Arabidopsis thaliana: one gene and its partner. The protein of the gene in region 2 interacts with the protein of the main gene of each other region in a biochemical or structural test. Each region holds a gene or a part of one and is shown on either strand. Other genes may lie near its edges.

Region 1 (4,672 bases), 7.8 Mb from region 2:
TTCCTAATCCGCTAAACGACATCCAAACAACATACTTGCATCCTTGTGATTCCATCTCACCTGTTTGTTTCTGTTTAAGCAATCTTTCTGCATTGGTATACTGTCTTGTTCCCGGTCCACATCTTTTATGAAGCTCTTCGTAAGCTCTAAGCTTCGAAAGTAGATGCAACGAAGGTTTATACGGTGAAGCTTTACGGTAGAGGTAAGATTGGTATCTACTCAAGCAAGACTCTTTCTTGAAACCAGATACAAGTAGCCCTCCAAGCAGAGACATATCTACAGAATCTGATGAAACATTCAAAGAAAAATTTAGAAACATTTCAAAACAAAAAGAAGAAAGTAAGTTTACCTTTTTGTTCTTGATCTCTCTGCACTAGTGATGAATCATCTGATGAGGATGTCACATTTGGTTCCATTGTTATGAATCTAGATGCTTGTACAAAGCCATTTCCTTGATCATATCCAAACATGGCTACGATTACTAGCGAGACAGGGACTAAAACCATGAACAAAGCTAAGATCTCTGTGATTCTCATTGCTCCTAAGAATCTGCAACTCTTTTCTTGGACTCCTGATTGATCTTCCGGTTGTTGATCAATGGCTCTGGAAAGAGATAATCTTCTTCTGGAGGGATACATTATTCAGAAACCCTAAGATCTAAACAAAAATGGAAAAAGAAATCAAATCTGATCTCTCCCTTTTACTTTCCTCATTTGTTACATAGGAAGAGTAAGAGAATAAGCAAAAGATCATCAAAAAAAAACTGAGACTTTGGTAATAAAAACTCAACCTTTATGCTCTTGTTTTATCTATTTTAAGAGAAAATGTCAAAAGCACAAAAATTGACTTTATTAAAGCTAATTTAAGAAGTTACATGATACATCAAATAATCAAAAACAGAGTAAGGCACACAAAAAATCATACTAGCTTAAGTCCCCAGCTGATATCCTCACAATGTCTCACATGAGGAACTAGTGTTCCCGTGTCAATACCCGTTTTCGCTTTACAATCATAGAATGGAGGCGAGTGGAAACAAGGCTCCATCGACATAGCCCGACCACACGAAGGATCGGGAGTTGTACGGTTTTCGGGTCTATAGAGTATCCAAGGCTTTAAACCTCCAAGACCTTGAGCTACATATCCAAATGTAGACCAAGCACTTGTCACAAGATTATCTGTCAAACTCAAAAGATACATTTCCGCAAGAGCTTTGCCATTATGCATCTTTTTTTCGGTCTGCTGATAACCTTCTTGGCTCGGCTGATGAACACCGATGATTTCTCCAGTTGATGTCGGATATTCCCAATACATACTCTTTAAGTTCTCCGCGTAACCCGCGTTCAAAGATGTGACAAGCACGGCTTTGTGTTTGGGGGTATTAACATGGCGAGATCTCTCCACTAGTGTGTCTACTTCAGGTAGAAGTTTCTCTTTTTGAGTACAAGATGAAATCTGATCCATCACATGCTGAAATGGACCCGGGTCTTCATCGAAAACTCTTACTTGAATCCCAATCTTCTCATCCGCATGCGATAAGTAAGCTTCGTAGTATCTAGTGACTAAGCCCCATACTTGGTTAGTTGGGTGAAAAAGATACCTACCTAAGTGATGAAAGACAGTCGCTTTCTGTGGGAATAGCTTGTTTAGTTCATCATCGAAACCCGGTATTAACCACAGAGATGGAACAAAGTAATTGTCTGTTTTAACAATCAACCAAGGGACTTTCCCGATGAATGTTTGGTCTCCTTCACAGAAGAACATCTTATCATGATCTCCATAATCATGAACAAGATGAAGATAAAGATGAGACAAAGTTCCCTCAGTATCAATCACCTGATTCTTCACCATATATCCATAACAACGAGATGATTCTTGATTTAATCCATCAAACTGATCAGTCATAGGGAAATCTAAAGGTAGCAACCACGACATACCGAGAAACGGCTCGCAAAAGAGATCATCCATGTCTTTCCCTCGGTCAACAAGCAAGACTCTATCCGTTAAAAGCGCGTAAAGAAAAACCGAGGCTAGAGAAAGTATCCTGTTCCCTAAGCCGCTAAAAGAAATCCACACAACATATTTGCATTCACCATCACCATCAATATGTTCTTGATCAAGTTGTTTTAGAGCTTTCTTGTAAGATTCAGTACCCGGACCACATCGCTTGTGAAGCTTTTCGTAGTTTCTAAGCTTAGAGATGAGATAAGAAGATGGCTTGTAAGGTGAAGGTTTACGGTAATGAACTGATTGGTACCTACTAAGGCAAGAATCTTCATCAAAACCAGAAGCAAGTAGCCCTCCGAGAAGCTTATCAGAATCTACAAAACAAAACAGAATCAGAACAAAATCTAAAAAACTCGGAAAAAACGAATGTAACAGTCTAAGCTGAGACCAAAACAAAAGAGCACTTTTTCACCAAAACAACATCAAACCAAAAATAGTAGTCTTGTGACTGACAAAGACTCAATTTTTATGAGTATAGATCTCAAATTGAAATCGACCAAGAGCTATGGACATACAGAGGCAAATGCGTAGTGTAAAGAACGAGATCTAAAGTAATAAAGCTCAAAACTTTGACTTGGAAGAACACATACTGATGTTAGTAACATTTGGGAAAACTCCGGCGTCGAGAACTCTAGCTTCGGCGAAACCCATAATCCGATTTGAATCAGATGGGTGTTGGTGAAAGATCATTGAGAATGCTACTAGTACAGAGAAGACTATCAAGCAAGTAGTGAAGGTTCTCGTGAGCTTCATCGTACCGGAGCTGAGATACTTCATTTGAAGTAGTTCGGAGAAATTAACGGACTTTGAACCGCCGGTAGTGGTTCTGATCGGAGACGATCTTCTCCTGTACGAATTCTGATCCATTGATTGCTCTTGAGGGAGACTCTAAAGTCACTCACCGACTTCATAACTTTATTTCAGAACATGTCTCCACGACATGGTTTAATTGTAATAAAATTATATTTCAATTGAATATCTTCACTTCTACATTATTACTTTTTACACCATAAACTTTGTAATGTTATATTTTGACCCCTATTGTAACAAGTGAATATTAGAAAAAGTAAACCATGTTAAAATTTAATTACTTCTAATTAGGACTGTCAAATTTTTACTACAGTAATCTTTAAAAAATTACAAATGTCAAAATTTTATAAAATAATGTATATAATTTTAAGTAATAAGATAATTAAAGAGAAAATATCTTAAAATACCATTTTTAAAATTAAAAAAATCTTAAAATACCATAAAAGAAAAATTGTTCTCCAAGAATACCACCACTTGTTCTCCAAGAATAGGTTTTAACGAAACTATTTCCTAAAACTTAAAAGCCGACATAACTAAAGGGTTTAAGAGGAGGGGTTTTAAGCTTCCCACTTGTGTTCTTGACTCTCAAACCTAACTTCGTCTTTTAAAATCAAACAACCATGTCTTCTATGAATGCGAATGCTGAGAATTCTGAGAGCAAACCAAAAAGCGGTAACGACCCTTTGGATCATGAAGGAGGAGATTCATCTGCTGCTTCGGAAGATCCGAACAAATCCAAAACAGTAAGTTCTGATGATGATTTGAGTGAGACTAACAAGGAGAAAGAGGAAGAAGATTGTGAAGAGTGTTGGCTTAGTCGGTATTTGAAAAAAGGTGATTGCAAAGATGCATTCATAGAAGTTGATCATTGTAGGGAAGTGAAAGATGACGGCACGAACTGTCGAGATGCTAGATTGAAGCTGATTACATGTATGTATACTAACGTCGATTACTACGGACCGTTTCTAGCAATGCAGAAAGAGATGCGGACTCAGTCGTTAAAGGAGTTGGAACAAGGGGAGGAGGCAGCCGCTGCGGCGAAGAAGAAGGAAGAAGAAGAAGAAACCAAGGGAAAGTGAGCGATTATTAGAATTTATTTGGTTAAGTTATTCTGATACTTTGAATGTTTCTGATTATTACTTTTGTTATTGTGGGAGAATTTGGTTTTTAAGTCATTGCTTTGTTGATGCCCATGAATTTCATGTTTCTCTCAATGAAACAAATTTTAAGTGCAAATCAGTGACCCTAATTACTATGGCTAATCTAGCGAATATCCGTTATCCTGAGTGAAACATCTCCTTGATCTCAATGAACCAGCTTTAGTCTAGTCCATCTTCCTCCTACTCGTTGTGGATGAATCAGTCTTTACAGAATCTAAGACTAGAAACCGAGAAAACTAGTTGCCTTTATCGTCATCCTCGTCGTAGTTAAACGGTAATGGAACCGTCTTAAATGCTCGATACTTCCCAACATTGTTCAAATGCTCATTCTCTAACCTGTTTTTTTGCATAAACAAATCCCCAAGAAAGTTATATCATATGTTGTGTGACAGTAAATAGCGCTAATACATGGTGAAGAAAAGTTGCAGTAACTTATGTTTTCTCACCTGAAGAAATTCCATATCCCACGGCGGATAATCTCTAGACTGGCAACAACAGCAACCATCGTCTGTCTGTGCATGAAGGAGAAATTGAAATCAAGCACGGTCTGCAGCCACGCGAACCTGAGCAAGATGTTCAAGATCTGCATATGTTTTTAAAGTTAAGAATCAATTTTGCACTAGGATTCCAAATGTTGTGTTACTCTATAGTTTGTGCTTACCATCGCGATGAAGTATACTTTCTTCTGCGGGACAAGG
Region 2 (4,853 bases):
ACTATGTAGTAGTCTAGTGGGACAAACGACGTGACGATATCAAGAGGGTACAGGATTAAAAGCTATGAAGTACGTTACCAATTACAATCTCAAGATTCTCAACCACCGGATTATAACTACAAGTACCGATTTGGCGATTTGACGAATACAGATCTATCAATTAGCTAGAAATTTTCTTTCCATGCATTTTCCCACCCTCCCATTAGATGATGATGATTAGAAGACCACGATCTCATTGGTGTTCACTGATTCAAGAGCATTTCAAGAGAATATAATTCTTAATTATGAATTTGTTCAATAATTAATCCCCACCCCACTTTTCCAAATCACCCTTACATGTTCACCAATTGTAACAAATAATTAAAGAATCAAAAGTGATTTCTTTTTTAATACTTATTGTTGGGAAATACTTAATGCTAGTCCATAACTCTCTTCAATTATTTAAAGGAGGAGTAAGTAAGTTTTTTTGCAAGTCCTTTTGTGGTATCCATGTGAGTTATACATTGGGGAGCACAAACTTCCCCACTCCCACAAGCCACGTTTGTCGCTTAAAGTTTCTAAGTTTTTTTAATTTTCGCTCTTTTTGGTTTGTTATTTATGAGTGTATGGAAGTGGAGTCTCCCCCTTGAACACTTCAACATTTACACTACTAATCCCGACTTAGACGACAAACATTTTTTCTAAGTTCGAATGTAATTCTCCTAATTCGCTTTGACCTGTTTTTGAATTTTATACTATTCAATTTTAATTTAGATATTTATCTACTTTAGACTTGTAGAAAATTGTTTTCAATACGAGCATATTTATTACCTACTATGGAACCATTTACGGATTTACCACCATAAATTAGACACCAGTATTCATATAAACTATCTCTAATTTTGAATTTAAACAAACGAAAACAAAACTTAAATCTTCAACTGGCTAACAAAATTTTACTCATCAATAAAACAAAGCAGTGCATTTTGTTTTGCATTCTAATGTCTCTTTTCTCTTATTCGACCTACATCAATAGTTTCATACAAACAAAGTCATTTTGGAGCATTTTTGGTCTTTGTTTAGACTTAATTATTTATGTAATTAGGTTTGCAAAAAGGCTAGTCATCTGCTTTATGCTTACTGTCAATCCGTCATCATTAGTTGGACATCATGCACGAGATTTGGTCTCAACAAAAATATTAACCTATTTCTACACAACATTCAAACTAAGGCAGTCAAAACTTATGTACTTATTGAAATACTAATTGATTAGCAGAGAGACGTTAAACAATGAGCTTGAACTTGAAGTAATCATGTTACAACGTGTTTTGGTTCATGCTTAGTGCTTACCATCAAATTCTGCGATTTGTGTTATTTCCAACGTATAGCATGCTACAAACCACTCACATGATTACACATGGAATCGTACCCACACGCTCGTCGAAATCGCACGTTACGCGCGAAACTGAGTCAAAGAGGTTTATATCTGACGTCATCGACACTTGAAACCGACATGTTTTCACACGTGGCAAGGTCCCACTGGTCACCGACAACTACAAGAAAAAACTGCCGGCGCAGATTTAGCCGTCCGACTAACGTGCGCTTTCAATTACATTATACAGAAGTCTCTCTTTCTTTCATTGACGGTGATGAAGACCAGCTCAAAGCCAGGTCAAAATCCATCAATCCTGGCCTCATCAATGTTAAAAATCTTTACTTTCACACATCTCTAGATCTTCCATAGAAGGATCAATCAAAAGCTGTAATCTTTCTTTCTTCCTCGTAGCTCCTTCTCTTGCGGATCCTTGTCGGTACACTTCTACATTCTCAAATCTGATTCCTTTCTGGAGTTGCTCCTGAGCTACGGTTCAGCTTCAATTACTTCGATCTCGTGTAAAAATCACTTCTAGAAGCTTTGATAAGCTTTGATAGGAGTTGGTTTTACTCTTTAGGGTTTTGTTTGAGTTTGATCTTTATTGTATAGATGTTGTGATCTTCGTACACTCTATATATGTTTCCAAGGGTTTCTATGAGGCGTCGCTCTGCTGAAGTTTCTCCTACAGAGCCAATGGAGAAGGGAAATGGAAAAAATCAGACTAATCGAATCTGTTTGTTGGTTGCTTTGTCACTCTTTTTCTGGGCATTGTTGTTGTACTTCCATTTTGTTGTCTTAGGGACTAGTAACATTGATAAACAGCTCCAATTGCAACCTAGTTATGCTCAATCTCAGCCATCATCAGTCTCTCTTCGTGTTGATAAATTCCCTATAGAGCCTCATGCAGCTCCATCGAAACCACCTCCCAAAGAGCCTTTAGTTACTATCGATAAGCCAATACTCCCTCCTGCACCAGTAGCCAATTCTAGTTCCACCTTTAAGCCACCTAGAATTGTTGAGAGCGGGAAGAAACAGGAGTTTTCGTTTATAAGAGCCTTGAAGACAGTAGACAACAAGAGTGACCCTTGTGGAGGGAAGTACATTTATGTTCACAATCTACCCTCAAAGTTCAATGAGGATATGCTTAGAGACTGTAAGAAGCTTAGTCTCTGGACTAACATGTGTAAGTTCACAACCAATGCTGGCCTTGGGCCGCCGCTTGAGAATGTTGAAGGTGTCTTCTCTGATGAAGGTTGGTATGCGACTAATCAGTTTGCTGTTGATGTGATATTCAGCAACCGGATGAAGCAGTACAAATGTTTGACAAATGATTCTTCCCTTGCTGCTGCCATCTTTGTGCCGTTCTATGCTGGATTCGACATTGCTAGGTATCTGTGGGGATACAATATCTCGAGAAGGGATGCTGCTTCGCTTGAGTTGGTCGATTGGCTCATGAAGCGGCCTGAGTGGGATATAATGAGGGGAAAAGATCATTTCCTTGTGGCGGGTAGGATAACGTGGGATTTTAGGAGATTGTCTGAAGAAGAAACTGATTGGGGCAACAAGCTTCTCTTCTTACCGGCTGCCAAGAACATGTCTATGCTTGTGGTTGAGTCGAGCCCATGGAATGCTAATGATTTTGGGATCCCGTACCCAACCTACTTCCACCCAGCAAAGGACTCAGAGGTTTTTGAATGGCAAGACCGGATGAGAAACCTGGAAAGGAAGTGGCTTTTCTCGTTTGCAGGAGCCCCACGACCTGACAATCCGAAATCTATCAGAGGGCAGATCATTGATCAATGTCGAAACTCAAATGTTGGCAAATTATTAGAATGCGATTTTGGGGAGAGCAAATGCCATGCACCAAGCAGCATTATGCAAATGTTTCAAAGCTCTCTCTTCTGCCTGCAGCCACAGGGAGACTCTTACACCCGAAGATCGGCATTTGACTCAATGCTTGCCGGTTGTATACCGGTCTTCTTCCATCCGGGTTCAGCCTACACGCAATACACGTGGCATCTACCCAAGAACTACACAACCTACTCGGTATTCATCCCCGAGGATGATGTTCGGAAGAGAAACATAAGCATCGAGGAGCGACTCCTCCAGATTCCAGCCAAGCAGGTCAAGATAATGAGAGAGAATGTCATCAACCTCATCCCAAGGCTGATCTACGCAGACCCGAGATCAGAACTGGAGACGCAGAAAGATGCATTTGATGTCTCGGTACAGGCTGTGATAGACAAGGTGACTCGGTTAAGGAAGAACATGATCGAGGGCCGAACCGAGTATGACTACTTCGTGGAGGAGAACAGCTGGAAGTATGCGTTGCTGGAGGAAGGCCAACGGGAAGCAGGGGGCCATGTGTGGGACCCGTTCTTCTCCAAACCAAAGCCCGGAGAAGATGGCAGCAGCGATGGTAATGGAGGCACGACTATTTCAGCAGATGCAGCTAAGAATTCATGGAAGAGTGAGCAGAGAGATAAGACACAGTGAAAAGAGACAGAAACCACATTTTGTTACGGTTTTGATATAGTTTTCGGTTACTATTTATACGGACAAAAAATGATTTATTTTTGTTGTATTGGTATCAAATGTAGTTTCTCCAGTTTCATAGAGATAAGTTTGTTTGTATCAGTTACCCACAGAAATTAATAATAAGAAGTGACCCTTTTCAAGTTTCTAACTGAAGACAGTGCCTATGTTTAATTTCGTTTGCATTTGACATTTTGCATTTGCAACACATATTCAGAACTAAAAACGGACATTACCCGCTAGTCTCATGCATCATTCATCAAACAGTAGCAGACCGAGTTTGTCATCAAAGGGTTAATCAAAGAGACAGACAAGTCCCGAAATAAGCTTAATCATCTACAAGCAAGTCAATGCCAGATATTTATAAGCAAAAACAATGTCAGGCACTAAAATAACTCACTAAATAAGCTTAAACCATCATCCTACAAAGCAAGTGACTGCAGATCATATTTATAAGCAAAAACAATGTCAGGCACTAAAAGAAAAAGAACTCACTAAATAAGCTTAAACCATCATCCTACAAAGCAAGTGACTGCAGATCATATTTATAAGCGCTCAAACCTGTCAAACAGTAGCAGATTTAGCCCCAACGAATTGGTAATACTTAGGGACTCTAAGAACTGCATCGAACCACTCGATCTTCCCCCAAATCTCTTTCTTGCTGCGCTTTTCAAGGGAAATTTCTGCGCACCAAACCATCTTCTCCTCATACCCACTTGCAGGCACATACTTGTGCCACAAAACAACCAGCTTACCACCACAATCCGCCAACTTAACACTACTATATCTAGCAAACTTAGGTAGCCCTTCTAATCCCACTAATGATCTCCAAACTCCTCCCTGTCTTCTTCTCCATCTAAACTTTACACTGGGGTCATAATGATAGGTAATCTCCTCTATCATGCAAAAAGAACCTCGACCTAAATCTGTATTGACCGAAAATCCTAACACTTCATATCCTTCC

The links.
Region 1: the proteins of MUR3 (region 2) and FT1 form a complex in vitro, tested with the Arabidopsis thaliana proteins (one study listed by BioGRID).

The regions. Positions count from the first base shown.
Region 1 is NC_003071.7:969,483-974,154, forward strand, and holds FT1 (fucosyltransferase 1), read right to left. Parts: upstream 2,935-4,672; 5' UTR 2,872-2,934; coding exon 2,595-2,871; intron 2,319-2,594; coding exon 919-2,318; 3' UTR 763-918; downstream 1-762. Other genes in the region: FUT2 (fucosyltransferase 2), read right to left, coding at 1-285, 350-638; AT2G03230 (GCK domain-containing protein), read left to right, coding at 3,435-3,893; AT2G03240 (EXS (ERD1/XPR1/SYG1) family protein), read right to left, coding at 4,211-4,310, 4,421-4,557, 4,636-4,672. UniProt on the Arabidopsis thaliana protein: Involved in cell wall biosynthesis. Is both necessary and sufficient for the addition of the terminal fucosyl residue on xyloglucan side chains, but is not involved in the fucosylation of other cell wall components.
Region 2 is NC_003071.7:8,790,365-8,795,217, forward strand, and holds MUR3 (Exostosin family protein), read left to right. Parts: upstream 1-1,574; 5' UTR 1,575-1,990; coding exon 1,991-3,850; 3' UTR 3,851-4,037; downstream 4,038-4,853. Other genes in the region: AT2G20380 (Galactose oxidase/kelch repeat superfamily protein), read right to left, coding at 4,454-4,853. UniProt on the Arabidopsis thaliana protein: Involved in the attachment of the Gal residue on the third xylosyl unit within the XXXG core structure of xyloglucan, the principal glycan that interlaces the cellulose microfibrils in plant cell wall.